3 linked regions of the Arabidopsis thaliana genome follow. The protein of the gene in region 3 interacts with the protein of the main gene of each other region in a biochemical or structural test. Each region holds a gene or a part of one and is shown on either strand. Other genes may lie near its edges.

The links.
Region 1: the proteins of TON1B (region 3) and CEN2 form a complex in vitro, tested with the Arabidopsis thaliana proteins (one study listed by BioGRID).
Region 2: the proteins of TON1B (region 3) and CEN2 form a complex in vitro, tested with the Arabidopsis thaliana proteins (one study listed by BioGRID).

The regions. Positions count from the first base shown.
Region 1 is NC_003074.8:18,668,770-18,678,616, forward strand, and holds CEN2 (centrin2), read left to right. Parts: upstream 1-5,367; 5' UTR 5,368-5,651; coding exon 5,652-5,654; intron 5,655-5,884; coding exon 5,885-6,039; intron 6,040-6,118; coding exon 6,119-6,146; intron 6,147-6,239; coding exon 6,240-6,392; intron 6,393-6,474; coding exon 6,475-6,577; intron 6,578-6,665; coding exon 6,666-6,733; 3' UTR 6,734-6,992; downstream 6,993-9,847. Other genes in the region: AT3G50350 (membrane insertase, putative (DUF1685)), read left to right, coding at 4,137-4,161, 4,314-4,730, 4,834-4,937; AT3G50370 (uncharacterized protein), read right to left, coding at 7,667-8,242, 8,330-8,976, 9,055-9,327, 9,414-9,612. UniProt on the Arabidopsis thaliana protein: Potential calcium sensor.
Region 2 is NC_003075.7:17,438,103-17,448,133, forward strand, and holds CEN2 (centrin 2), read left to right. Parts: upstream 1-6,026; 5' UTR 6,027-6,212; coding exon 6,213-6,215; exon of another isoform or gene 6,216-6,309; coding exon 6,310-6,439; intron 6,440-6,516; coding exon 6,517-6,553; intron 6,554-6,641; coding exon 6,642-6,669; intron 6,670-6,775; coding exon 6,776-6,928; intron 6,929-7,033; coding exon 7,034-7,136; intron 7,137-7,216; coding exon 7,217-7,278; 3' UTR 7,279-7,513; downstream 7,514-10,031. Other genes in the region: HSF4 (heat shock factor 4), read left to right, coding at 2,558-2,776, 2,969-3,604; ACD2 (accelerated cell death 2 (ACD2)), read left to right, coding at 4,525-4,866, 5,043-5,660; AT4G37020 (initiation factor 4A-like protein), read left to right, coding at 7,676-7,728, 7,811-7,859, 7,949-8,086, 8,366-8,608, 8,703-8,742, 8,823-9,076; AT4G37022 (uncharacterized protein), read left to right, coding at 9,611-9,697, 9,762-9,798, 9,890-9,981. UniProt on the Arabidopsis thaliana protein: Potential calcium sensor that binds calcium in vitro. Modulates homologous recombination and nucleotide excision repair (NER). Involved in the early response to UV irradiation.
Region 3 is NC_003074.8:20,378,943-20,389,990, forward strand, and holds TON1B (tonneau 1b (TON1b)), read left to right. Parts: upstream 1-4,953; 5' UTR 4,954-5,188; coding exon 5,189-5,275; intron 5,276-5,583; coding exon 5,584-5,716; intron 5,717-5,981; coding exon 5,982-6,070; intron 6,071-6,174; coding exon 6,175-6,297; intron 6,298-6,738; coding exon 6,739-6,863; intron 6,864-6,949; coding exon 6,950-7,120; intron 7,121-7,205; coding exon 7,206-7,251; 3' UTR 7,252-7,510; downstream 7,511-11,048. Other genes in the region: TON1A (tonneau family protein), read left to right, coding at 2,670-2,756, 2,950-3,082, 3,188-3,276, 3,379-3,501, 4,002-4,126, 4,220-4,245, 4,341-4,497, 4,593-4,635; PUR5 (phosphoribosylformylglycinamidine cyclo-ligase, chloroplast / phosphoribosyl-aminoimidazole synthetase / AIR synthase (PUR5)), read left to right, coding at 7,876-8,179, 8,266-8,360, 8,432-8,533, 8,617-8,676, 8,759-8,931, 9,005-9,107, 9,191-9,349, 9,434-9,607; AT3G55020 (Ypt/Rab-GAP domain of gyp1p superfamily protein), read right to left, coding at 10,236-10,349, 10,473-10,566, 10,705-10,829. UniProt on the Arabidopsis thaliana protein: Involved in the control of the dynamic organization of the cortical cytoskeleton. May play a role in the organization of microtubule arrays at the centrosome through interaction with centrin 1 (CEN1).

The sequences.
Region 1 (9,847 bases), 1.7 Mb from region 3:
AATCTACTACTGAATCGACCCCTTTTTCCTATTTATTTATTTAATGGAATCCTTCAACGTACAGTAGTTTTTAGGAATATGGATTTAAACCTTAGATCTCGTAATCGTTTAAAAAAATGGAGCAGAAAAGAAGCTGGATCAGATCTGTAGGTACTCATTATATTTATTAAAATTGACCAAATTTTCGTCGATACATGAACTATATACTATATACGATGTGAAAGGTTGGACTTAGGTATGGGTAAGAGTTAATGAAATGTTCACATAAGGTGAAGAGTATTTGTTGTCTGGGTGTGAAGCTTTAGGAACATTTACAAGTTAGATGTTTAATTGTTAGCTGAGTTTTGTGACATTTGTAGGGTCCATTTTGTCCCAACCACATATGATTTTTGTAAGAGATATATGGAAGGTGCCATTTTTTGCAAGTAGTTCATTAAATATTTAGGAATTTGTATGTTGTGTGATCGATTGATTGACATACTGTGCAGATTCTCCGTTTCATCCAAAATTTTGTTGCCTATGCAGATTAATATGTAGTTTACTGTTTGATACTATGATGTTTGATCGGTCCGATTTGGTCTACAATTTCTTACTCCACCATATATAACATTTCTATTTAGAAGGCTTATATTTTAGTATTTTACATTAATCAACTTCTATATCTATAATTGCTTTGGACTATGAACCATGTTAAATAGTCTCTTCTTCATCGCCAGTATTCGAACATGAAAACTTCCCAACCCTCACATTTTGAGTGGTCGAGTGATATACTATATGAAGAAAGTTTGTAAATGTTAAATTGTTAACTTCAAAGCTAAGATCATTTACATCCATTTCGTAAATCATATTTTAGATTTACTTTTTACTTTTGTACTTTATAGGCATCTTACAATTTACAAATATATACTCATTTACTTATAAGACATTGAAATAAGACGTGATATATTTATTTAAATCCCTTGTTGACTATCCCAAACCAAGTTTAAAAGATTTATCAAACGTATTATTTGCACGACAAATGATAAGGTCAAACACCTTGGACTACACGTGATGTTCCTTATATATTTGACATATATGTCGACAAAATTTATGGCAATAGCCTTGAATTTGAAGTGTCGTTACAAAAAGTCATTATCGTAGACAATTTTGGTCCGTTTGTGTGGCTTTCGACTCTATCGACCGTTGCTATGTCCCCACTCAATCACAACAATCGATCGGTCAATTTGGTCCAACAGCTTTGGTTTGGTTCAATGTCTTCGTAACAAAAATGTCAAAATCTCTTGTTGTCATGGGTTGGTTTTCGTAATTGGTCGTTTTACTTGTTGGGTGATGATGTTAAGAAAAATTAGGACGCTTACGCTTGTTTTATAATATTTGTACGTTCAATAATTGAAAAGAAACCATCAAATAATAAATATAATATTCTTATTTCAATAATACCACTAACGAAATCAAAACCAAAATAATAACTTTACTAGCTAGCAGTATCTAGGATTTTTTCTCAATAATTTTAAGTTTAAACCAATTCACATTTATCTTTGTAACAATTAACAAATATAGTAAAGTTTTTATAACATGCTAATAAAAATGGGTGAACCAAAAAATAGTTATATAAAATTATGTGTAAACATGTTAATTAATATATATTTTAAAACATCAATTTTGATAATTAAGTATTTTTTTTGGTTAAAACAATGATGATTTTATCGCATTTGAAGGTGATCCACTGGAATATAATATATCAAACTACACAAAGATGGCCTTTATTATCTCGATGATAAACTAGTTATGAATTTTATAATATATCATAACTAATACAATTATTATAGTTTTTAGTGAAACAAATTCAAAGTGGGTAAAAAGCTCCCCCATGTGCTTAATACCTTATTAGTTATTACCTTCTACAATAACCTATTTTACGAATAATTAAGAGAACATGTAGACCATATCAAATATGCATAATGCACATATATCAAGTTGCCATTAAATCTTTTTTGACCGATATTCACAACAAACACACTAGTACTATACCACTCCTGTTCTTATAAAATAGAAAAACAATCTAGCACTGATAGTAGCCCAAATTCAATTATAAGTCTAGTGAGAATAGATAAAAAAAAAACGCATAAAATATACGTCCATTTACTAATCGAATGAATGTAAACACTTTACTAACAACCGAGATAATGTATATCTGACCAAAAATCAGTTGTTTGTATGGTTGCTAAGTAAGAATTCATAACAACCGAGATAAACAACTCTATCAAATGTACTTCGTTTCATCAAATTACTAATCGAAACTTCGAAACCTATTATAATAAAAAAGACGATTCTAGTTAAAGTATGAGAAACCTTTTTTAAGACATAAAGTATGATAACCTTTTTTCCTTAATTCGCGACCTCCTTTTCATAAACCATTCGCCTTTTGATAAATATATTATCCATAAAAGTAAGCACTCGTGTGGTCGATATCTCATGTCTGTTCTTTACAAATGGATTCTTGTTAGGTTTTAGGGTGGCTATAAAGCTATACCATCGTAGAAGCGTGCGTGCGATGGCGAAGGATAAAGTGAGTTTCGATCATTGTATTCTTCATTATTTTGAATTTGATTAATTTTGTTTTTTGTATGTTCCATAAGATTCACCAAATTAAAGTGATTTTGCAGGTCTGCGTATTTCTTTCACTGTTTTTATTAAGCAGATTAAATATTTAGTCCATATTTCTAAAATTCTGTTTATGTATAGAAATTGTAAACTTTTGGGACATGCCATGATACGTTTAATAGATCAAGTTTAATTATATTGTGGAATACGTCAAGAGCTTACATAAAGGATTGTTTTAGTAGTATACCATATATGTGGTAATATCGCAGGTCCGATCCGAATGGTAACAGTAACGTAAATAGTGTAAAATGGGAAAGAGAACATAACAAGGTCTTGCTAGTGAATTAGAATATACAATTTACGTTGAACAAACGGTACACATAAATGAAACAAAAGTTGAATAGTGATCATATCAGAATATCAGATCAATAATGTATAAACAATATCAAATTTTAACTATTTTAATGATCGAAACAATTCTTATAACAAACTTAATTCGTATGACTGTTTTCGATCTTTTGATGATATATATTTTCAAAGGAAGTTGTCATTGTCAACTTGCAATTCAACAGTTTCTAATTTTGGGTGCTGTTGAAACCCAACTACCACATTTTGATGTATTTAAAACATTATACTATGCATCTTTCTGATACAAAAATGTATATCATTAATATGTATTAGAATTCTTAGAACATGCCTATATATCCAATATAGCTCATCAAACACTAACGAGTATAAAGACCATCCACTCCACCACCACATTAAGTTTTTGACTTAATGATCATCGGCTATGTTGTTGTGGTCCAACATAAAGAGTCTGCCGAGTTTGGTTTCACTGTCTAAATTGGAACCGTTTTTGGTTCAACAACTAGTTCACGCAGTAAAGTATCACTTAAATACAGTTAGTTCAACCGGCCATAAAAAAGTTTGTTCTCGTACATATGGATATTATTGATTTACACATTGAGAATATCTACCCATCTATTATTAACAATTAAGCTTGACCTAGAGAAATTCTGATGTAGATTTTTCTGATTATCTTCTCATGGTTAGGAACCAAACCTTACCTTGTTTCTCTACTCGAATCAATCTCTTTATTAGCTTATGTATGGTTTAGTGTTCTCTAACCAAACCAAGAAAAGGATTGGTTTAGTGTTAACATACTGTATTACTAAGTACATAGTTATTGGGCTATAAGAAGCTAACTGGGCCACAAATCCAGAATCCCAATATAAGTCAATGTACATCGTTTGCTAAAATCTAAAAACGGTATCTTTAATCTCAGAAAGGACATTATACAAAGATGATGATGTTACACATAAGGTCGTTTATCTACATCAACTTCAACCCACTAGTTCTTCATATTACATAAAGTCTCATAAAAGCGATTTCGTATCGAACTTTTACTCATAAAATTCCCTTATTCTATGATTAAAAAGGAAGAAATTCCAAAGTTTTATAGTATTTTTATGCAATGCCAACTTGTGTTGCTTCGTAATTCCAGGTACATTACATAATTTAATAAAATTAAAATGAACCAATCAAAAACAAATCCAGGTCATCATCATGACTTGGGCCGGCCCAATATCCCTGAGTCGGCAACACTCTCTCTCTCTCTTCCATTCCTTTATAACTAATCTTCAACTAACTTTTCTCTTCCCCCTAACTTTTTTCACCCAAATATTTCGACTTAATTACCAAAAAACCAGCCATTGATCGTAAAACCTTTCCACCACCGCACACCCCCTCGCCGGGGGTAGTGCGTCGCATACACGCGCCACCGTTACCTTCTACTTCTCTCTTGAAGCAACACTCGTGGTCTCCTGATCTAATCCGCGAGGAAGCTTGGTCAAAACGTCAAGATATCTCCCGCCACCGTCATCTCCGCCGTGGTAAGAGCTTGACCGACGAAGATCTCGACGAGCTTAAAGCAAGTTTCGAACTCGGATTCGGTTTCGGATCTCCCGAAAACGCTGATCCAAGACTTTCCAACACGCTTCCCGCGTTAGAACTTTACTTCGCCGTTCAAAAAAGCTACAACGACGCCGTTTCTAACAAATCAACAACGTCGTCGTCTTCACTCTCCGACGGCGATACCAGTCCTCACCACACCGTATACCAAACCAGTATGTATAAACATACACACACACACATATATACACATACACGATTATAAATTTATAATGATCAAATTTCATTTGAATAGGTGATGATCCGCAAACGGTGAAGACGAAGCTGAAGCAATGGGCGAGAGTGGTGGCGTGCACCGTGAACCAATCGCCGCCGAGATGATAATTTTAACGACTGTTAAACGTTGTGGGGATAAAGGTTAATCCGGAACAGGGTATGTAAATTGAGACGCCAAACAGTCGGTGGAGTCCAGTCAGCGTTGTAATATTACACACACAATAGTAAAATACTAATATATGTTGGACCCAACTTGTTTATAAGTTATATTGTTTATTGTATAATGCATGATTTGATTTGATTTATCTTCTTTTAGTATGTGATATATAATTTTATATATGCAACAGAACACAATTTGCAAAAGTATATTCTCAGATTCTATTGTCTGACTTTTGTCCATGGGAGAGTGGTGTTGGCTTCTCTTATATTCGTTGCTAAGCTTGATAAAGGATTATGCAAATTCACGTGAATTTGCATATAGTGATTAATTCAGATTAACTGATCTCTTTCAGATCAAAATCTTTGTAGCGTAACTTATATATATTATAACTTTTGAAAAGAAGAAAAAAATTATGGCCGAAGAAACGATCGAAATAGTGAGAAAATAGAGAAAGTGTAGGGAACGATGAGGGAGTAAGTAACACATCTGTGTTTTGTCTGATTGTCTGATTAAGAACTACACATAGCAGATCTGTGTTTTGTTATGGGCCTTCACTATTAGGCCCATCTGACCCATATCGTTACCGCTTTTTAGTATGGAAAAGCAACAACAATGTAAAGGAAAGCAGAAACGTTAGATTTCTTTAGACGCGCAAACTGAAAGAGCTTTGATCGATCGATTTGGAGGATTCGTAGAAGATATGGTTCGTTCTTACCTTTGATTCTGTCTTTATTTTTTTTATGTTTAGAGATTAGCAATTTCTAAGGATCTCTAGATAACAATTTTGCATGATGGATTTTTTTTTTTAAGATCTGATTTGTATTTAGCGAATGTTAGAATGAAGAAATTAGGGTTCCATGATTGAAGAAGATTTTAGACGAAACCCTTTAGTGTTAGAGCTGAGATTTTGAATTTTGGATGTTATTATTGCAGTCGAGTATATACAGAACTGTTTCGAGAAAAGAGAAACCGAGACGTCATCATGGATTGACGACACAGAAGAAGCAAGAGATTAAGGAAGCTTTTGAGCTATTTGACACTGATGGTTCTGGTACCATTGATGCTAAAGAGCTTAATGTTGCTATGAGGTAATATCGAGAGCTTTATATCTTTCTGTCTTTGTTTTATGGTTTTGGAATTGATTCTTGATATTATCATTTGTGATAGGGCGCTTGGTTTTGAAATGACGGAAGAGGTATTATTATTTCTTTCGTTTTTTCGGTTTTTTCCGCTAAGATTCGTTGTTTATATCTATGGTTCTGATACCTTGATGTATTTGGTATTGAAGCAAATCAACAAAATGATAGCTGATGTGGATAAAGATGGAAGTGGAGCTATAGATTTTGATGAGTTTGTTCATATGATGACTGCTAAGATTGGTGAAAGAGACACAAAAGAAGAGCTCACTAAAGCATTCCAGATCATTGATCTTGACAAAAATGTATTTACTCATAACTTAGTTAGTTACTTCATTTGATCTTAATTTTTCTAGAAGCTAAACTATTTTTCTTCCAAATTTTCAGGGGAAGATATCTCCGGATGATATCAAACGCATGGCAAAGGACTTGGGTGAGAATTTCACTGATGCTGAGATACGAGAGATGGTTGAAGAAGCAGACCGAGACCGTAAGTGTCCTAAACCTTTTTTCTCATTCTCTTGTGGCACAATGCTTGGTTTGACTAAAGATATATGATACATTACTGAAAACTGCAGGTGATGGTGAAGTTAACATGGATGAATTCATGAGGATGATGAGGAGAACTGCTTATGGTGGTAACTAGAAAGGTTGTTGCTGTTCTTAACGATATTTGATGAGCTCTATTATAGTTCTTTAACTGAGGCTTAATTATCTGTAATATTATTACTGAAGATACATATATCACAGTTTTAATCTATAGCTCATCTTAATGGCAAGTCTTGGTCTGTCTTTGTATCATTATAAGATGTATAAATTGGCAAAATATTCGTAGTCTTAGTGAAAAACTTTAGGAGCTCGCATTGGTTACTTCATAAGTCGTCAAGATTTGGACCTCTGCGCACATCATCATCTAGAAAAAGATATTAGATTTGTCTTGTCATAATACCCTGTTGCATTAAAGTTGTCGATTCATCATTTTTTCTTTCACAAAAAGTGGTACCATTTTATGTCAACCATAAGTTGTAAAGTTACACAACTGTGGAAACTTCACTTACATAACATATCCGACCTTTGAAAGCTTACATCAATGGATTCCAAAAAGAAAAAAAGATCCATTGATCATAACAAAGCATTTTCCTTAGGCAAAGTTTCCAAGTTAGCTTAAAACTTTAAAAGTTGTCGATTCATTGCACAAGGGTTTTGAAACAAAAAAGTAAAGCATAAAAAATTAATTCAATAAGAGTGTGTACTGATTTGTAGAAGCTATAAAGATAATGTTGACAACAGATACATTGGGGCCGTGAATTGGGTATTCTACACCGAAAACCTCACGACAATATTTTTACCAACCATGACGAAATTAAGCATTACCAAAGTCCCCATATAATGAATCCCCAAACGAGTAAAGAGAACAAAATCTAATTATCTAACGAGGATAAAAAGAAGAAAAAAAGGAAGCTAACTGATATATGGGAAAATTGAAAGGAAAAAAAGTCCAAATCTTCTTATGAAGCCAAAGCTGGTTGGGTTATTGGGATGAGTTTATATCTGAACGGACCTGGATGGTGAAGAATCATCAAATTGAGGGGGAAGTGGTGGTGGTAGTAGAGGAAGCAGAGGCACAGCTGTTACCAGTCTGCTTAGCCACATAGATTTGCTTGACCTTTGGGTTATTCGGAAAGCCTCTCTCTCTGGCCATGGGTTGGTTTCTGCCATGGTAGCCCGATCTCCGGTTTTGATGGTGCTGGTGTTGGTGGTGGTGGCTGGGCCCACCAACATGCTGAGACTGCGTGTTCTTCTCCTGAGAAGATTGTTGTTGTTGTTGTTGTGGTGGCTTGAAGCCAGGACCATTTGGATTCTGAGTGTTGTTGCTGTTGGGATCAGATAACGTGGAGGTGGGCTTTGCTGGTGGAGCACCAGTGGTGGAACTGTAAGCGTTTGAGGAGTCCACCATTGCGTCTACAACTGTGGATGCTTGAACGTTGGGATATCTGTTAGGAGGAGGAGGAGGAAGCATGTTGTTGTTAAACTGAGGTGATGGAAGATTGGAGCCATCTGTTCCTTCCTGCTGTTTCTGCATTTGCATCGTTGGAGGACCCGAAAATGGCATGTAAGGCCACCGTGCTCGAATAGGCATCTCCTGAGAAGAAGACTGACCCACACCATAAAATAAATATTAAGTCGATGGATTCTTCTACTAGTTAGCATTATTGGAAATCATAATGATGGGATCCAATACCTGGAAAGGAGATGGATCAAACATTGGCATAGGAAGGTGCTGAAGAGACGCAGGTACAATGTTACATTGCATGGAAGCCACATTAGGATTGTTTACATCACCATCTCCTCCAACCGGAGAAGAAGATACGTTTGGGTTGTGTTTCCAATCTGGTTGCTTTCCAGATGGGATGTAAGTTGTTCCCATGAAACTCAACCCTCCAAACTGTCCAACAGGTGCAAAGTGGTTATAAACAAACATGTGAGGAGGTCCCTGAACGCCAGGAATAGCACCGGGTGGGGTTAGAAAAGGACCCGTGAAACCGGCAGGAGGGGCATAGAAGGAATCTACTCCAGAATGACCCTGCTGCTGCCAGGTCGTAGGTGGACCAGATACTGTTACTGGACCTTTCTGGGACTGTGATTGGGTTGCTCCTGCGTCATGGTGCGGGCCAAAAGCAAAAATGGGTCCTCTTAACATGGGATTCACATCATAGAAAGGGTAATGAGGAGGGCCTGGAGGGAAGTGAGTGATCATTTGGTTTGAGTTGTGTGGACTTGGTAATTGTGGCCACAGAGAGATTGGGGTGTCCACTGAAAGATCTGCTGGTAGAGAAACAATGAGAGATTCCTCAGCTTTTGATCGACTAGTCTGCCCACCAACAGTACCTGCCAAAGCAAAAGAAATTACTTCAGACAACAAACAACCATTTGGGAATGCATAAACCCTACAGAAAGCAAATATACCACTTGCTGCCCCATCATCTAACTCTGTTCCTCCATAAATTTTGGTTTCAACAGGTAATACAGAGCCAGTACTCAAGGCATTCCCACTGGTTTCATCATTAGTTATGGCTGCCACAGCAATAGCTGAAGCAGCAGCTTCTGCTTCTGCTTCACAAATCTCTATGCCAGTGGATGATGGATTTCGATGTTTGTTATCTTTTTCAAAATATAAAGAGCTATCCTTCTCTGTACGCCCACCACAGGGAGGGATAACAGTGGAAGATGTAACTGCACCTAAAAGAGAAAGAAAGATCCATCATTTAAATGCAACGACGAGCCAGTTCAAAGTAATAATCAAGGTATCTAGTCAACCAGCTCACCAAATTGAATTTTGCCCTCAGCAAGCAATGAATTTATTGGACTTGTGCTGCTTGAAAAAGTATTGTTCTTTGGCACAACAGACGTTGATGTCGAATTTGACTCGCTAATTCGGTTGGCACCATTCTCAACAGAAACACATGAAAGATGAGATACGGGTTTCATGGCTTCATCAAGCTGACTCTGGGTTAGGGCCATAACCTACAAGGTAATATGAAAAGGCTTCAGATATTTGCATAGGCGTGATTCATAACTAGTAGAGCATGAGTCATAAACTATTTTGATTATTATCCACTATGACTTTCTCTGTCCTCAATTCTTACTGCTTTCTGTTTTCAGTAAACCATTCTATCAATTCATATAAAGTGACTATGAGATGCGGCTTAAAACACAACCGTTTTAGATGACATTGGAAAGGTAAGCAAGAATCTTGCAG
Region 2 (10,031 bases), on a different chromosome or scaffold from region 3:
ATTTTGAATGTGTTTATGAACAGTTTTTGTCGACTCAAAAGTTAAGATGAGAATATGGAAGAAAGTAAAGTTTAAAAGTCATGATGGGAACAAGGAATGGAACTCAAACATTCTAATACTCAACAAACGCAATTATATTATTACCATGACTCATCTTTCAAGTTCCATCAAAAAGATTCGTGGAAAATAATAGACTTACGTTTCAAATCCATGTTTCTTTCTTTATAACAAAAAAAATGGATGTTTCTTGACGCGTGTCGAGAGTACTCACCATTACTCTGACTTCAGTGAGTTTGGTCAAGTGGTCTTTTTTTTTCTCATGTCACCAAAGGTCCAAACCCTAGAAATTAGTTCGAACTTTCCATAGAAGAACTGAATAAATGGTCCAAAATTGTTTTAAAAAGGACCTAAGCCATTAGTTCATTGAATTCGAGTTAATGGGTGAAGATTTTTATGATAACGAAAGTCGGAGTAATTATGCTTTTGGTCCGATAGTTTTCTAATTTGTTTTCTTTCCATTTTTTTTTTTTCAAATACTACATACTATATAAGATAGTGGTTTGTGTTAATGTCATCGATGTGTTACCATCCGCATTATATTAATTATTTATCCCAACATAAAGTCAGAATCTGTAATTTCTTTGTTATAAAATACAGTAAATGGTTCCGTTTAAGCTGTTAGATGATTTTTGAGTAAAAACTAATGTAAAAAAAACAAAAAAAAAACAATGTAGTTCATAATACATGCATGTTTTAAAGAAGTTTCTTGTTTACTATCAACTTGAATAGTATTTCACGAAGTCAAAATTGTTCATTCCGACTTTTCTATGTGGAGAAAAAAAATTCTATCATTGTGCACAATTTAACAGAATGTAATTTCTTGTAAAAGAAGAGGAAACAATTCGCTGTTAGTAAATGTGAAGTATAGAAGTCTAAAATGAGATACCTCAACTAGCTTGAATTAAGAAAAAAAACAAAAACTCTATCGACATGAAAAAGGTCGCAAATATTTATCATTTATCAATGCCAAAGGAGTATTTGGTTCACAAAATACTGAATCATTTATATAGATATATAATTAGCTCTAAATTCTACTATAACTTGCAAAATAAGTATACTGACTCAATTATATAGCGTTTAAAAATAGACGATTTGTATGATGAGGTCCATATATATGGAGATGTGCATGCAACTATCGACATTTTCACACGTTGATATCGTCTTTCTCCAATGGAGACTTGAATTTGTGTAAACTATGAATACTCGTCTCTCTAAGACCTTTTTTCTTCAACCATGCCAACTATTTAGGTAAGATTTTACTGTCTTTGATTGATATTAAATACTTAGCCGTGGCGTTATCAATGAATGATAATAAAAATGCGGATAAAAGCCAAAGGTGTTGGAAATAAATCCAAGAATGAAGACGTAGATGTCGATGGGTATTTTAAGAACTTGAATTTGTCACGACTCACACGTTAAAATATATTATCCGAATTGTTTAGTCTAAAGACACACATATATTGAAAAAGAAAAGGTAAATGAAGCTCATTGGTGCCTAAATGTGAAATGAAGCCGAAATGTGTTAGGTGAACACATTTAAATATACAAAAAGAAATATAATAGAAACAAAACTAATTAACAAAGTCGCAATTTGTATTGTATAAAATATCTTTCCGTCTCCCGTCATATTTGAAAAAAAAAAAATTACAAATCTGTTAATTTTAAAACTTTCTAGAAAAACACAAGTATATAATTTTCTCTTTTCGTGCGTGTTTGTTTTAAAATAACATTGTTTTGATTGGCGACTCAACATATTTTAGCATTTACATATTTCTGCATATATTAAATGATTTATAAACTCAACTATAGATTAAAATATAATTTGACATCTAATAATTTTAACAATAATATAAAATATGAGATTTATAAATTACGAATATAAATATTCAAGGGAGAGAAAAAGTAGAACATAATTCAAAAGATAAGACTTTTTAGACTTTTTTAACAATATTTTTGATGGATAAAAATTATTCAAAAGAGAAGAAAGTAAGAAGAAAAGATGTTTCTGAGAATTTCTAGAAACAGCATCCGTTTTTATAATTTAATTTTCTTACAAAGGTAGGACCAACATTTGTGATCTATAAATCTTCCTACTACGTTATATAGAGACCCTTCGACATAACACTTAACTCGTTTATATATTTGTTTTACTTGTTTTGCACATACACACAAAAATAAAAAAGACTTTATATTTATTTACTTTTTAATCACACGGATTAGCTCCGGCGAAGTATGGTCGTCGTCTTCATCTTCTTCCTCCATCATCAGATTTTTCCTTAAATGGAAGAAACCAAACGAAACTCCGATCTTCTCCGTTCTCGTGTTTTCCTCTCTGGCTTTTATTGCTGGGATTGGGAATTTCTCACCGCTCTCTTGCTTTTTAGTTGCTGATTCTTTTTCCTTCGACTTTCTATTTCCAATCTTTCTTCTTCTCTTTGTGTATTAGATTATTTTTAGTTTTATTTTTCTGTGGTAAAATAAAAAAAGTTCGCCGGAGATGACGGCTGTGACGGCGGCGCAAAGATCAGTTCCGGCGCCGTTTTTAAGCAAAACGTATCAGCTAGTTGATGATCATAGCACAGACGACGTCGTTTCATGGAACGAAGAAGGAACAGCTTTTGTCGTGTGGAAAACAGCAGAGTTTGCTAAAGATCTTCTTCCTCAATACTTCAAGCATAATAATTTCTCAAGCTTCATTCGTCAGCTCAACACTTACGTGAGTTTCACTCTAACGAAAACTCATTTACTCTCAATTTAATGCTTCATTTAATTCGTTTGGTGAATTGAATCATTCTTTTGTAGTTGGTTAGCCAATTTCGTAATTTTCTCATAATTTGGGGGTTGGTGAGAAAACCTTCTAGAAGCTGAGAATGTTCTTGTTCTTTTTTTTTTTTTTTTTTTGGTTTAGGGATTTCGTAAAACTGTACCGGATAAATGGGAATTTGCAAACGATTATTTCCGGAGAGGCGGGGAGGATCTGTTGACGGACATACGACGGCGTAAATCGGTGATTGCTTCAACGGCGGGGAAATGTGTTGTTGTTGGTTCGCCTTCTGAGTCTAATTCTGGTGGTGGTGATGATCACGGTTCAAGCTCCACGTCATCACCCGGTTCGTCGAAGAATCCTGGTTCGGTGGAGAACATGGTTGCTGATTTATCAGGAGAGAACGAGAAGCTTAAACGTGAAAACAATAACTTGAGCTCGGAGCTCGCGGCGGCGAAGAAGCAGCGCGATGAGCTAGTGACGTTCTTGACGGGTCATCTGAAAGTAAGACCGGAACAAATCGATAAAATGATCAAAGGAGGGAAATTTAAACCGGTGGAGTCTGACGAAGAGAGTGAGTGCGAAGGTTGCGACGGCGGCGGAGGAGCAGAGGAGGGGGTAGGTGAAGGATTGAAATTGTTTGGGGTGTGGTTGAAAGGAGAGAGAAAAAAGAGGGACCGGGATGAAAAGAATTATGTGGTGAGTGGGTCCCGTATGACGGAAATAAAGAACGTGGACTTTCACGCGCCGTTGTGGAAAAGCAGCAAAGTCTGCAACTAAAAAAAGAGTAGAAGACTGTTCAAACCAGCGTGTGACACGTCATCGACGACGACGAAAAAAATGATTTAAAAAACTATTTTTTTCCGTAAGGAAGAAAAGTTATTTTTATGTTTTAAAAAGGTGAAGAAGGTCCAGAAGGATCAACGCAAATATATAAATGGATTTTCATGTATTATATAATTTAATTAGTGTATTAAGAAAATAAAACAGATGTTGAAGTTTTATTGTTGCTTAATTTATGTCTTCATAATGTAAAAAAGCATGTGAAATACTTGGTCTAAGGTCATCTACTTAGTTGAAAACTTGTGAAAGAGGAAGAAATTTTACTTTTATGTTTGATTGATTTTCTTTGCAAGTAGTAGTAGGTGGTTTCCGTGTTTTTACGTAATCCGTTGAATATTTTTCCCTCGAAATTGTCTTTATAAAAGTCACAGAAACATTTTCTAGAACTCTTTATCAGGAAAATAAAAATAAAGATGTCTTCAAGGAATCGAAAAAATACAGCAATATACTAAATAGAAAATGCTATGAAATTAAATAAAAATTTAGTAAGGTTCCAAAGACACTACTTAACTAGAGAGAAAAATAATTCCAACTAGCTCTACAACAAACAAATCATTTACTTGTTTAAGAATCGAAAAATTTAGAAATTTATTCTTATTATTTGTTTGCCCAATTAAGTCGCTCTTGGCCCAATACTTGCATCACTTGATTGAGTAGAAGAAGATCACTTACCAACTCTCAAACCATTTAAAAATTAAAAAGCATAGTTTATTTTATTTAAATATGTGTATGTAATAATTCACCACAAGAAATATATTACAAACCACAAAACTATAATCCCGGTAAAATAGTAATTAATTTCTTCAAAAGTGTAAATAAAAAAGAAGAGACATAATTTAGTCATAGCCACATAAAAAATGGCGATGATATTTTGCAACACTCTCTACTCTTCTTCTTCTCCATCATATCTCTCGCCGTTAACTTCAAAACCGTCGCGATTCTCAAAGAATCTCAGACCTCGAGCTCAATTCCAGTCCATGGAAGACCACGACGATCACCTCCGCCGAAAATTTATGGAGTTCCCGTATGTGTCACCCACGCGGAAGCAGCTCATGGTTGATCTCATGTCGACGGTGGAGAATCGCCTCCAATCACAACTCCTTCCCTGTAACCTCCCTCCAGATGTACGAAACTTCAATAACCCTAACGGTTCCGCCGAAGCATCTCTTCATATCAGATCCGGCGACAAATCTTCTCCGGTACTTGCGACGATTAACTCTGTTTTTCAGTTATGAGATCGAAATTGACTGTTTTGCATGCTTGTTTTAGAGCTCAATTGCTTGATTTTAAGTAGAAACAGACTTCAATTTCGATGTAAATCATAACCCTAAAAAAAAACTTTTTAGAGAATCTTAAAGTTTGTTTTGTTTTGCAGATTGATTTTGTTATAGGAAGTTGGATACATTGCAAGATCCCAACAGGAGTATCTTTGAATATAACAAGCATCTCTGGATTCTTAAACTCATCAACAAAAGCTCCAAACTTTGTGGTCGAACTAATACAGAGCAGTTCCAAGTCGCTTGTGCTAATCCTTGACCTCCCACATCGTAAAGATCTTGTTCTTAACCCGGATTATCTCAAGGAGTATTACCAAGACACTGCTCTTGATTCTCATCGACAATCTCTCCTTAAGCTACCTGAAGTTAACCCTTATGTGTCTCCTTCTCTCTTTGTCCGTTCTGCTTTCTCTCCTACTGCTTCGATGCTTAAGATTGATGCGGAGGAAGAGGATAAGTTGGAGGAGATATTGAGAGATCATGTTAGTCCAGCTGCTAAGGAGGTTCTCGAGGTTTGGTTGGAGCGGTGTGTGAAGGAAGAAGAAGAGAAGATTGTGGTTGGGGAAGAAGAGAGAATGGAGTTGGAGAGAAGAGATAAAAGCTTTAGAAGGAAGAGCATAGAGGACGATTTGGATTTGCAGTTTCCGAGAATGTTTGGTGAAGAAGTTTCCTCCCGTGTTGTACACGCTATTAAAGAAGCTTTCGGTGTTCTCTAGATTATGTAACTATATATATACATCAGTTAATGTTCATTGTACTAAACATTTACTTTCATCAATGTCACAAGAACGCAAGATGACCATCAAACAAGTCCTGTTTTCTCCTAAGAACGTCTTTGTTGTGAATCATCTCTGAATCGGATTCCTTCTGATTCATTTTAATACTATGGGATTGTAAATTTATCAATCAAGTTTCTAATTTATCTGTAAAAAAAAGTCTTGAATTATTGTTTTTCTCATGGATTTTAAAGTTTTTTTTTCACTATTTTACATGGATGTTTTGTTAAATTTCTCGTTCTCTAGATCATGTCATTTTACATTAGCAAAACCAATATAATATATAGATTAATATTAACGAAGGAACATAAACGTGCAAAACTAAAAGTTTTAAAGCTAAATCGCTTTCAAAAGAGTTAGTAACCAGACAAAAAAGAGACAGATCATCGGCAACTAATCTCGTCATCGCATGCATCATAAACCAAATTAACTAAATCATCCATTTAATCCATTTGTTCTTATCAGATCATCCTTTTCCTTCCTACACAAGAAATGGTTAGTGTTTTCTTTTCTCGATTGTCTCTTAGTTTAGATTCTTTATCCGACTACTTTGTTCATCGGTTTTGTTTTTCTTTTTGTCTTCCGGAAGGCGAATTACATGTCGGAAGCAGCACAGCTCAGAAGAGGTCTAAAGCCTAAAGGGAAGACTTATGGGTTGACCAATCAGAAGAGACGAGAGATCAGAGAGATCTTTGATCTTTTCGACATAGACGGTTCAGGTAAACTATTAAACCGATTCTTTATCCGATTTACAAAGTTATTGCTCACATGATTTAGTGCATCATTTCATATGTAGGTAGCATCGATGCTAGCGAGCTCAACGTTGCTATGAGGTCAACGGCAATTTTTCTTTCTTTTTCAAAGTTATTTTCTTCAAGTTCTAGTTAAGTATAGTACTAAAAAATTATCAGCTGATTACAGGTCTCTTGGATTTGAGATGAATAATCAGGTTTGTTTGTTTTCCTTCCTTTTTTCTTCTTTGTTTTAATTTCATGGTTTAGATCATTGTACGTAGAACCAACTTGTATTTAGTTTGGTCATGTTCATTGTTGCAGCAAATAAACGAATTGATGGCAGAAGTAGATAAAAACCAAAGTGGAGCCATAGATTTCGACGAATTTGTGCATATGATGACAACCAAATTCGGAGAACGAGACTCCATAGACGAATTGTCTAAGGCGTTTAAGATCATTGACCACGACAATAATGTGAATAAATCTAAACCTGTCATTATTTCATTCTTTTTAATATTATCTTTTTTTGTTTGGATTGATTTCATTGTGTTTGACTGGACAACTTTTGGAATGTTTTAGGGGAAGATTTCACCTCGTGATATAAAGATGATTGCTAAAGAATTGGGAGAAAATTTCACAGATAATGATATAGAAGAAATGATCGAAGAAGCAGACCGTGACAGTAAGCAAAAACACATAATAATTTTGCGTTTTATCTATAATCGGTCCCTCAAGTTCATGTTTTTGCCTTAACCTACGCAGAAGATGGAGAAGTTAACTTGGAGGAGTTCATGAAGATGATGAAGAGAACCTCTTACGGCTAAGTATAAATCAATTAGTAATGGTTGTGAATAATATTTGTTAATCACCTTGATTTATAATAATAAAGAAGTTTGATTTGTGGCTTGGTCGAATAAAAATGTATTGTTGTATAAAAATAATAATGTAATTCACATCCATTATTTTGAATATGTAAATGTCCTTGAACGAACATTTGTTTTATCATTTTTTATGTATAAATGTCTTTGACCAAAAAATAAATTATGTAAAATATGAACCAGAAACGATGTTGTTTAGATCTGATACTTACATATAACCAAACGACGACGTTGCTAGAGTAATAAATCTCAAAAGACTGGAAACGACTGCGTATAAGTCCGTGACCTGGTTACCGGAGCGTAACTTCTCCGGCGAATTGGACAATTTTGAGAAAGACGGATTATGGACTCCATGGAAGCTCCATCTCTACCATTTCAATCTCCCTCTCGTTCCAGGTTTTAATTTTGAGTTTATAAGGATTATCTCATACCTTCTAACAAAAACCCTAAAAACCCAATTTGTTTTTTTGGTTTGCAGTCAACAATTGCATTTCTACCTCGCCGTGGATCGTCCCCAATTCAAAATGGTAAGTAAATTGTATCAATATTCCTTGTAATTTCTCATCAAGACTGAGATTCTGAATCGCAAATTTCGAAACTTTGGATGTGGGCACAGGAGACTGTAGTGGAATTATTAGGCGTTCTAGGTCGTCGTCCATGGCTTCCGATTGTAGTCTGTTGCAGCTCTCGTGACGAACTTGACGCCGTCTGTTCTTCCTTATCCACTCTTCCTTACATTTCCTTAGCCGCTTTGGTATCTCTCTCTCTTCTTCTCTTTAACTTTCATAGCTGAGGCATGTTTCTTCTTAGTCTTCTCTTTGGTATTTGATTTGAAAAGACCCTTCTTGTTGATTCACTTGCTTGGTTCATCATGATTTGAGTTCATTGTCTTTCATTGTTTGATTGATATCATCGGTTTTTTATATCCGTTTGTTATTGTTCTTGTTGTACCACTTTCTTGTTCATCATGGTATTAACTTACATGTTCTTCCCACTAGGTTATGTTTATGTTCAACGTCTTTTGTGTCTACAGTACAGCGATCTAGCAGATAGAGAACGAGCTATGGTTATAGAGAAATTCAGGCAAGCAACAATCAACTGGAACCAGCAACTTAACTCTGTGGTAGAAGAAGGTTTGGAAGAGAGTGAAAACGGAAAAGAAGAAAAGACATCTCATTTGGTAGTTGTGACCGATGTTTGCCTTCCGTTACTCTCATCAGGAGAATCTTCTCTATCCGCACGCGTTCTCATAAACTACGAGCTTCCTACAAAGAAGGTTGGTTGGTATTTTTCTTAATCAATCTGCAATTGTCAAGTCAAAATGTCCAGAACCTTCCTCTTATTCACTACTTGTAATGACCATGTTTCAGGAAACATATACAAGGCGTATAACAACTTGCTTAGCTTCAGGTTCTTTTTTTTTTCTTTCAAAACAAACTCTTTTTGTTCATCAAACAATGTCACTTAACATTTGAGACTTTTCTCTTAAGGTGGAATAGTCATAAACATGGTTGTTGGAGGTGAAGTAACGACTCTCAAAAGCCTCGAAGAAAGCAGTGGCATACTCATCGCTGAGATGCCAATCAATGTATACAGTAGAACCAATCAATCAAAGAAAAAGCAAGAAACATTCTGCTGTTTTTATCTTAGGTTAATGACTTCAAATGTGCTTTCTTATTGCAGATTTCTGAAATCTTATAACAACACATGGATCTCCGATCTGAAGAATTCTAAATGGGGTTAATGGCTCTTAAGCCTTTTGAAGGACTAGAGGAGATGAATGGTGGATTGATAACGCTTTATTTGTTTGATTGTATCCAGATGTCTCTTGACCATTGCGCTCAAATCATCAAAGCCAAACTTATTGTAAAACCAGTTTCTTTTTTTCTTATATTATTAAAGAATGTTGAAACGAAAGAAAGTTTTGTTCTTTCTCTTGTGTATATTATCAACATACATGTACATCAAATTGCAATTTTCTTTTGTAGCTCCCTACTAGTTAACCTATGGTTTAGTACGTAATTACCAAATCATTAAGTGAAAAAGGAAACAACGCATAAGAGTTTTTTTTTAAAAAGTACCGTTACGCTGAACCCTAATCACATGTGGAAAAAGGAAAAAGGAAACAAGAGAAAAAAGGAAATCCCTAACACATCATTAATGTTTATAGAATAGCCTCATCGTTTAAGTATCTTCGATCGATCATCACAAACAAAAACCTAGAGAAACAAGAAATACAGAGAGAGAGAGGGCTATAGATTGAGAAATACGCAATTTCATGCTCTCTGATTTCTCCGATATCGGATTCTCTTCTTCGTTTAGAATCATTACGCTAGCCGATGGATTCGGTTCTGTTCGCTTAGCCGTTACGAAGATTTTGCGAAGACTTGGGTGATAAAAACGGCAATTGACGACGGAGATGGCGATAGAGAGGGAAGATTGATGAGGATTCATCGGAGATTATTGGTGAGTAACCGTTGGTTATCGTTGACTGGTCAAACCTCTTCGTTAGCCGTTACGCTCCAAATTTTTCACACTTTGATTTGTTGATTTGCAGTCGCTCTTCGACAAACCGAACGAGAAACGAACGTGATGGAAGATGATGTTGATGACTCTTCTTCGACCAAGATGAGCCCTTTCTGGAGAATCGTTCCAAAAATTACAGCGATCGAGATGAGTGACGATCCAGAAGTTAAAGA
Region 3 (11,048 bases):
GTATTGAGAGTAGGAAGAGAGAGAAACCTTAATGGAGACAGAGGGACAGTGGGGTTATGTCAATTGTCATATTATTCAACCACTCACCAATCACTCACTCCAAATCTATATCTCTCTTTTTACAAATAATTATGATAGATTTGATGATAAGTTGGTTCTCAAATCCCAGCCGTTCAATTTATCCAGATATGCAAGAAAATATTAGATTTTAAGGAATCGGCCTTTCCTTATTTGGTAAGACTAAATATCTCTGTTCATTCTAGTTCCAATAGGTAAAAGAGTAACCTTTTTTCTTACATTATTAATAACTTGCATTGCACAATAACGTATTACCCTATAATTCACAATGATAATGTGTTTTGAAGTCATCTACACACTTCAAAGTTTATTACTCAATCGAAAATTGAAATATTGTCTACCACTCAAATTTCTTGAAATGGTTAAAATACTTGAACGTGTACTATATGCAAAAATCTCTGATATTTAACTGCTTTGAAATTTTTATCAGAATATTACTAGTGATGGGTCAATTTCTTTGTTAACCTTGTGCTTTATGCACTTATGTTTATAGTCTCTATTTTCTACACCTAAACAACACAATCTATTTGTAGGTTGCAACTCGGACCCAAATTTTTTGCTAAATTTTTTGTTGAAGTCTTATATTAAGCTAGGATTGTGACTTAAAATATGAATAAAACTCATATTGTTGGCTTAAAAAACGAATTAGGATGTTTGTATTTAGTAGGAACATAGTGTTATGAAACCACATCTGATAAACACATGATTTTAAAGTGTTTTAAAAACTATTCTAGCTTCAAAACCAGTTTCTCATTCATCCCGAATCTTTTTTTCCATCACATATATAGTAAATTCATGATAGAATTTTAATTTAACCTAAATATATATAGTTCATAGTTGGTTATGTTCAATCGATTAGAAGGGTTCTGTTGGATCCGAATTCGAGACCTAGGAACTACACCATGATACATTTGGGGAAAATATGATATACGTTAGTAGGTCAAACACAAATATTATCTAAGATTAGCCTCCGGCCAGAAAATTATGGACTTTGTATGTGAGGGAGATTGAGAAGCGATTGCTAAGATTAATAAATATGGGGCTTGTTGGTAGAGTAGATCTATAAAAGGGGTGATAGAGAAACGAGTGGAAACGCATGAAGCACGTTATAAAATTGAATAATTGAAGATTCAACCATATTCTTTGATAATTGGTGGGCATTTTTATTTTATTATTTGTTGTCAAATCTCTATATAAAGAAAAAAAATTGTTTTAACGTTTTCGGTTTAATGTTTGACGCATATATGTGGGAACAGTTTTGGGCGACGTGGTAGCTTCCCCTCCTCGTTTCCCCCAAAAGCCAATGCTTAAAATGACGAGAATACCCTCTCCAAAAAACCATGTGCTCCTAAGTCCTGAACTAGTTCTGATTCTTTTCTTTTAGCTATATAGGGAAGTGAGACTTGCGAGGGTGAGTATGTGACATCAAAATGGAAAACACTAAGCTACATAACCGTTGGACTAAAATGGTAATAAAAAGAAGCAGAACAGAAGTAGGTGAATAAAACTGAGAATGGAAACAAGAAACAACTGAAGAAATCGGATTTATATACGTTTTTGATCATATTCTTTGGTTCAAACTCTATAAATAAGTTTCTTGGCTTCTTTCTTATAAGAAGAATCGACTACACTTTAAGTTAAAAGACCACAAGCAATACACAGTTACAAGAAGAAAGAAAAGTAGTTCCAAGTACTCTCTCTACTTTAAGTTATAAGATCACAAGCAATACATAGTATTTAATAATTAACACAAGAGTCGAGCTTGGACTTTCTTCTTTCTTGGGCCTTCTTCTATTCCGATTCATCCCATTGACAAACCCAAAGCGTTGGATACTCAAATGCTCATTCGTAAACACGTATCCTCATTAGCTTTTTCTTTCCCATTTTGCTTGAATGTAACTAATTAATTTGGTTTTTTTTTTAATTAGTAAGTGTAGTATGTCAATATTGTACAACTAGATGATACTGATCCATTAGAGTAACACTAAAGTTACCAAAGTTTCATACAACTCCAACGACAAGCAAGGTTAGGCCTTTCCATCCAATATTATAATCTAAGAAGGAGCGATTGCCCTTGATCTGACCCAACTTGCGAGTGGAAAATCTAATGCTTATTTGTTCATTCGTTTTCTGAGATTCTATATCAAATAATAGTCAGTCATCACTAGAAAATGCTCAAACAACTAATATGATTCATACACATTTCATATCATATGCTTGGCAATATTGGACCGAACTTCATGATTTTTCTGTCCATGAATGCAAATGTGTTGTGATCTCTGAGTTACATCTCAAAATGTGAACTTGACATCATATTCTCGTTCAAAAAAGGAAGATAAGACAAAACATTTAAGAAACATTTCACAATCATAGGGGGCAAAAGATCAAAATTTAAAATTTCGGACGAGAGTGGAAACTATCAATCTTTAAGGGGATGATTTGGCAAAAGTGTTGTTTTTATTTTTCTTTTACTGTTTTCGTTTTATCATCTTTCAACGTCTTTCTCTCCCGACGGCCAAAAACCCCAATTTTGCCAAATCCAATTTTACACCCAGAAACCCTAATTTTCCTTACTTTGATTTGATTTTGTGATGGACGATTATACAAGAGAGATGATGGATCTCAAGACTTTGGTCACTCGAACCCTAGAGAAGAAAGGTGTCCTCGCTAAGATCCGGGTAAATTCCCTCTACTTCTCTACCATACATTATTCGCAGAAATTTTTGAGTGGAAATGAGAACAGAGAAGTGATTCGTTTGAAATACATACATTACTCTTTTTCTAGGGTTCCTGCTATTCAGATCGAAATGCTCGATATTGTTAATTGCCTATGCATCTGGAATCTTGCTGATAGTTTATTTGTGTTTGTAGGCTGAGCTCCGTGCAAGTGTGTTTGAAGCAATTGAAGAAGAGGATAGAGTGATAGAGAACAATGAAGGACCGCCTCCAGCTCTGTTGGGAAGCTGTAATGATCGTGCAAGGAAGCTTCATGCTTCTCCTTCAGGTTTTTTCTTCACAAGTTTTTGCTTTTATCCTTTTAAATCTTTCCTCTATGAATGGTTTGGTTCTAAATGGCATCTCTTGGTTTGAAATTTTTGTTGAAATGCAGGAAGGTTACTATCTGCGTTGATTTGTGAATACTTGGACTGGGCACAACTTAATCACACGCTCATAGTTTATCAACCTGAAAGCAATTTGGTAATCAATATAATCCCGTTTTCTTTTGCTATGTTTCATTAAGAAGATTGTTGATGAATTTTTCTCACTAATCTGGTGAACTCCTGCAAAACCTATTCAAAGCCAAAAGATTCGTGGAAGTCTGAGTTACGCGACTTTAATAGCAACAATGGTTTTGAGCTCAATAGAAATGGAGATAGTGGACCACTCCTTCTCGATGTTCTTGAAGGGTTCTTGAAGTTTGAGGTATTTCTTTCTTTTTTTCCCCTGAAGATGTTTGCAGCCAAGTGTGAAACAGAACTTTACTATCTATAACTTCTTCTCTTAGTTTACAATCTTTACAACCATACTCTAAACAAATTACAATAGTCCACCTGTAGTATGTGTGATTTATGAGTTGTAGTGTTAACAGTTCCTATTATGTAAGTGAAGATGATCAATACTTTACACCCAAGCTTTACAAACACCAACTTACATAAAATCTTGGTACTCTGTCCTCGCAACCAAGAGAAGAAGTTATAGATAGTAAAATTCAGTTTTCCAAGAAAAATAAAGTCTCTTAGTAGAGATTAGAGTTCTTCAGAGATTTGAAAAACACGTTTAGCAAATTTCCTAGCCTCAAGTTCTCTTCACATCTAAGAATCATGTTTCCATCCTATCATAGTTAAAACCATTATCATCTGTTTTTGCCGTATGCTCCTCAGATGTAGTGATCAACTTTTTTTTGTAATGAATTTTTTCTTCAGAGCATGACGCAGGGCATGGGTAGTAGTTCAAGGAGAGATTCAGAAACAGAGTCGTCATCAAGCCTTGAGTCCAGAAATCCTCCTCGCAGATCATCTGCTTCTGATAGCTTACCTCCTCAACGAAGGTACACATATCTTCAACTTCTTATTATTATGCCAAATCAAAGATCGTTACTCTTCGACATGATTGCTTTATTTACCTTCAAATAAATGGGCAGGCCGGTTTCTGCATCTCAAGCATCGGGTGAGTCATCATTTCCCTAGTTTCTTGAAGTATTGGTTGAAATACGTATGCTTCATTATTTTTTGATACCAAATAAATATGACAAGATGTTACAGATAGAAGAGCCGGGTTGTCTACATCTGGGTACAGAAAAGATGAATTCAACTGGAGACAAGGTAACCAAGATACACATGAAGAGGTAACAAGAGCTTCAGCGGCGCTGGAAAATCTACAGCTTGATAGGAAAACTCGGAACTTAACATCGTCTTGGAGGTAAGCTTTCAAGGAAGTCTCATTGAATCCCACATTGAAATGAAAACAAAGCAAGTTGTGGTAAATCTGATCCATCGGGCTTGCTTGTGTTGTAGGAATGTGAGGGATGGAACAAATGAAGAAGAAGGGAGAGATTGATTTAGGCTTTGGATAAACATTTCAGCTTCTGGATTAGTAGAGTAATGGTTTGTGTACGTGATATATGTATGTTTCTCCTTTATTTGCAACTGCGTTTTCAATTAGCCTTTTTTTTAACGCACGAACCTCTGTCTCCTTGAGAACAAAAAACATGAAACAGTAAAATGTTTTCTTTTGAGATTTGTTATGGGAAGAGAAGAGTTCAGAAAGAAGAATCAAAGAAAGCACAATGTGGTTGAATATTTTCATTCACTTGCTTCTTATTTTAGTGTCTCCAAAATTATTATGTCTCTAGTAATAAACAAGGTTTTTGAATGATGTGTTCACTGTTTGTTTTACTCGTACTTTTTTTTTGTTTTCCCTTTAGTCTTCTCTCTCTCTCTCGCTTCTTCGTTTAAAACTTTAAACTAAAGTATCGAAGAAGCCAACTCTGGATGACGCAAAAGCTTCTCTCAGAACGGCATTGTAGAATTCTCCGGTGACCAAATAATCCGATTGCATTAGTAGGGAATCTGTTATTTTGATCTGATCCGTCAAATTGGCGGTAAGAACAATGGACGATTATACAAGAGAGATGATGGATCTCAAGACCTTAGTCACTCGAACCCTAGAGAAGAAAGGTGTTCTCGCTAAGATCCGGGTATATTTGTTTTTCTCTTGCCACGATTCCTCTGGTTCTGTGACATACTTCATTCAAATTCCGTAGAGAGATTTGAGTACAGAGAAGAAGAGAAAACATACATTGCTTTTCTAGGGTTCGTGCTTCCAGATCTACTTTATGCATCTGGAATCATGTGAATTCCCAGTTTTTGTCGTACTTTGAAATTGAGTCTGTGAAAAAATTGTACCTTCTCAGCTGAATTGGATTCTTTAACATTTGGTTTGGAGATTGAAGATTTGTTTTTTTTTCTCTATATTCTTCTGCTGAAATTTTAGTTGTTTCTGTAGGCTGAACTCCGTGCAAGTGTGTTTGAGGCAATCGAAGAAGAGGATAGAGTGATAGAGAACAATGAAGGACTGCCTCCAGCTTTGTTGGGAAGCTGCAATGATCGTGCAAGGCAGCTTCATGCTTCTCCTTCAGGTCTTTCTCAATTTTTATCCTTCATATCTTCTCTTCACTTTTACCCTTCAGAGACCTTTTCTCTTTGAATGGTATGGTTCTAAATGGCATGTCTTGGTTTGGAAATGCTTTCTTGATACTTAGATATATTCGCTTGTTCGAAATGTGTCTCCTTGTTTTTTTCGGGTGAAACTTTGCTTGCTTCTATTCTTAGGCGATATGAACATTGAGATTTTGTGTAGTTGAGTAGGTCATCTTGATCACTTTATAAAATGTTAAAATGCAGGCAGGTTGCTATCTGCATTGATTTGTGAATATTTGGACTGGGCGCAATTAAATCACACGCTTAAAGTTTATCAACCAGAATGCAATTCGGTAATCAATATATTTCATTTTCTTTGAACTTCTGATATTTCTTTTAAGTACGTTGAAGATGAACTTTCTAACTGATGCTGTGATCCCTGAAAACCTATGCAAAGGCAAAAGATTCTTGGAAGTCTGAGATACGTGACTTTAGTATCAACAATGGTTATGAGCTCAACAGAAATGAAGATAGTAGACCGCTTCTTCTGGATGTTCTTGAAGGATTCTTGAAGTTCGAGGTATTTCTTCTGCTTTCTCTCTGAAGATGTTTACACATACAGTATAGCTTTTTTTTTTTTCTCTGTTTACAAGCTTTACAACCATATTTGTTACACATTACAATAGTCCAGCTATGGTACATGATTTCAGGGCGTTAATGTTTACAGTTCCTCTATTCTCTAAGTGAAGATGACCAATACCTGTTGGTTACATCGAAGCTTTACAATTACCAAATTAGTTCAAATCTTGTTACATTGTGCTCACGACCTCACATTTTTTCCAAGTAAATAAAGTGTCTTACTCAAGAAAAGAATTTTTCAGAGCTTTGAATAAGTTCGGTGAATTCCAAGCCTACAATTCTTGTCACACCCAGGGATTATGTTTCCATCCTCTTGTAGTAAAACCATTATAATTTGTCTGCTGTATTCACCTCATATTTAGTGATCAACATTTTTCTTCAGAACATGACGCAGGTCATGGGTGGTAGTTCAAGGAGAGAGTCAGAAACCGAGTCGTCATTAAGCCTTGACACCAGAAATCCTCCTCGCAGATCATCTGCTTCTGATAGCTTACCTCATCAACGACGGTAAATCCAACTCCATGTTCTACCAAATCAACGATCTTTAATCTTCCATGTTGCTTATGAGTCTGACATGCTTAATTAATGGGCAGGTCGGTTTCTGCATCTCAAGCATCGGGAGCCGCTACCTCAGGGTACAGAAAAGACGAGAGCAATTGGAGATATGACACTGAAGATATGCCGGAAGAAGTCATGAGAGCCTCAACAGCACTTGAAAATCTTCAGCTAGACAGGAAAACTCGGAACCTAACATCGTCTTGGAGGTAACTTGGAGCGTCATGGCTCTTACCTTACAAGTCGGATAGAACTGAAAAATAATCTAATCCATTGGTTTTGGTTGTGGTTCAGGAATGTGAAGGATGGAACAAGTGAAGAAGAAGAAGGGAAAGATTGATAAGGCTTTCGTTAAAATCCAGCTTGTGAATTAGTATCTCTACATATATATGTGTGTTTCTTTTTTCATGTATGGTTTTAAATGTTGCAACTTTGTTTCTTAAGTTTTTCGTTTGTCGTGTTTGAGAAATCCGATTGGAAGTAAAGATTATTGATATAAGATGTCAACTACAATTAAGCCGTTAACACAAACTCAAAAACTTTCATAAAAATTCTCAAATATTAGTGTCATTAAAAAAGCATTGTTAATCTGAGGACTGTATACATTCCAAAGAATTATCATTTCCCAAATTTATTTAAAATAATTTTATGATATCTAATCCTAAATCTTTTTGTTGAGGAAAAAAAACAAAAAAACAAGTAAACCTTGTTTAGGTTTATTAGGGTTTTAAAAGTATTTATATTTGTTTTCTGCTGCAGCAGACTCAAAAAGCTAAGTAAACTACTCAAGTCCCTCCCTTTTCCGGCGTCGCTATTCTCAGTCTCATTCTGTCTCCCGTAAGTCCTAACTAAGCTTTCTCTCTTCAGTCTTCAGCCTCCGCCCGTTATTGTTGACAAGTTTTAGCCTTTTTGTTAATTACTACTTTACTACTCTTGTTGTGAATTTGCTGCTACTGTTGAAGCCATGGAAGCTCGGATTTTGCAGTCTTCTTCTTCCTGTTATTCGTCTCTTTACGCTGTCAATCGATCCCGGTTCTCTTCTGTGTCATCTCCGAAACCTTTCTCCGTCAGCTTTGCTCAGACGACGAGAACAAGGACTCGTGTATTATCCATGTCGAAGAAAGATGGTCGCACTGATAAAGATGATGACACTGATAGTCTCAATTACAAAGATTCTGGTGTTGATATCGATGCTGGTGCTGAGCTTGTTAAACGAATCGCAAAGATGGCTCCTGGAATTGGTGGATTTGGTGGTCTCTTTCCATTAGGTATATATATATATATGGAAAACTGCAAAATTTTCACCTGAATGTTGAAACTTTTGGTCTTCTAATGAATGAGTGTGTGTGAGCAGGTGATAGTTATCTTGTAGCTGGTACGGATGGTGTAGGGACTAAATTGAAATTGGCATTTGAAACTGGAATTCATGACACCATTGGAATCGACTTGGTATAGCAAATTCTCTTTTGTGTGTTTTGTGATACTAGCCCATAAACTCATGGTTTAGCTTATTGTTATAGGTTGCTATGAGTGTGAATGATATTATTACTTCTGGTGCAAAGCCTCTGTTTTTCCTTGATTACTTTGCTACTAGTCGTCTTGATGTAGACCTTGCTGAAAAGGTACCATTGCTTCATCATCTCTTTCCCCTTTTGAATTTGAGATTGCTTTAAGGACTTGATATTGATGTATGCTTTGTTGTCAGGTCATTAAAGGGATTGTTGAAGGTTGTCGGCAATCGGAATGTGCTCTCTTAGGGGGAGAGGTATGTGTTACGGTTTTGACAATGTAGTTTACGCATCTTTCCATGATTGTGTATCAATTTGGTTTTGTTTTGTTTTTTTTAGACTGCAGAGATGCCTGACTTTTATGCAGAGGGCGAGTACGATCTAAGTGGGTTTGCAGTAGGCATAGTAAAGAAAACTTCAGTTATCAACGGAAAAAACATTGTGGCCGGTGATGTTCTTATTGGCCTCCCGTCTAGTGGTGTTCATTCCAATGGTTTTTCTCTAGTAAGAAGGTAAAGAGTTAGCGATAGTCGAGGTTTTAAGCTTCTGATTTCATGGCTTTTAACCACATTCCAATTGTTGCAGGGTATTGGCTCGAAGCAATCTTTCGCTGAAGGATGCGCTTCCAGGTGGATCAAGTACCCTTGGTGATGCTCTAATGGCACCCACTGTCATTTACGTGAAACAGGTTGGTTTTCTTGTCAACAAATATTCATTCCATCATCACATTTGTAACAACTCTATGACTTTCTCTCTCTCTGTTATTCGAAGGTACTTGATATGATAGAAAAAGGAGGAGTGAAAGGTTTAGCTCATATCACAGGCGGAGGTTTCACAGACAACATTCCCCGAGTCTTCCCGGACGGTTTGGGTGCTGTTATTCACACCGATGCTTGGGAACTTCCACCGTTGTTCAAGTGGATTCAACAGGTAATGAATGAGGAGAGAATCATAAACAGAACGATTACGTTTATACTTCTAGAATGTTTGATTGTTTTTTGGTTTATTGTATAGACTGGGAGAATAGAAGACAGTGAGATGAGAAGGACGTTTAACCTGGGGATAGGGATGGTTATGGTGGTTAGTCCAGAGGCAGCTTCACGAATACTAGAAGAAGTCAAGAATGGAGACTATGTTGCGTATCGCGTAGGAGAGGTTGTCAACGGTGAAGGCGTAAGCTATCAGTAGAGTGTTGTGTGTTCTTTTTTCTTCTGTGTTTTTTTAAGTTTTCGTTTCCCACCGTTTTTAAGAATTAATCCATTTGTCTACGGTTTTATGAGGTTACAATCGAGATGAGGCATTTTTTAAGACGTCGTGTTATTATTTGATCTAATTTTTTAAAAACAACCAATGTGATTGGTCTGGTTTATTCTCTTTGTCGCACAAACAGATGTTGAAAGATATTCTCGTTCTAATTATATAAAATTTAAACATGTTGTTTGCCTAGATGGTATGGGTTAAGAAGCTAATTGTCAAGAAAAAACAAATGTTGTAGGAAGAATTCTTCATAAAATTCATATATTATAAAACTGAGGGTATCCAAGAGAATCATTTACTTACTAGCTTAGAGATTAATGAACTATATACACCATTTATGTCTTGTATGTATCCCATCACCTTAAAATGAATATATTTATAGCAGCATACCACAAACAAACAAATGAATGTATTTAAAAGTTCTCCCAAAATTCAATCCGGAATTATGAAAAAAGGGTGACTGAGAGAACTGAGAAGCTATTGAGACTACACGTAGGACGATTTAGCTACTACGATTTGAAGATGGAAGTGGAAAAGAGAGCTTCAAGGTTGATTATACCTAGGAAATGTCTTGGACCTTAGTTTCCGTTGGTTCAGAGTTAGTCTCTTTTGCCTCTGTTGATGATTGCTTCTCGTCATTAACATGCTCCGGAGATTTTTCAGGTGTTGTGTTCTGCAAATTGCGGGTCAGTTTGTATACATAACTAGGAGAAACTATTTGGTTTTAAAGACAATTTTGAGGTGTTTCTTGGGTGAAGCCGTCTCTATATATGTTTTGTGTAAGAAGAAGATTTACCTTGTTCTTGTCGCGCCACCCTAGTCCAAATGGCCGTGCTAGCAAACTGATCCTGCTTGGAGGAGGTTCTGGTGACGAATCTTGGTTAACTTGCCTGGAAGGTTAAAAAAATATGTATATATATACCCAATTCAGAATACACAAGGGTGGGTCATTAGTCATAACCCAATTGAGTGTTTATAGTTGTGTACACAATTTATGTTTTGAGTTGACTCAGGTAAAAAGAACACACCGTGGTGAAGGTTGTGCTTTGAGTTGGCCAGATTGATACTGCAAAGTTGCCTCGAGCATGGACTCTGCCATCACTGCTCTCTTCTCCATTTCAGCCAGTGCAGCAACAGCTTCCTCGTATTTTTCCTAGACCAGTTATCATATTCGTTACAGAAACGATCTAAGATAGAACAGGAGAATACAAAAAAAGGAAAAGGATATAAAGTTGCATTCAAATCACGCAGCTCTGAAATACAGACAAGGGTTAATACAGGATTTACAGAGATTATGGTCCTAAACTAATGTGTAACTCTACTCCATGGAAGGCGAGTAACGACCTATAACAAGAGGCAGTTAAAGCTCTTT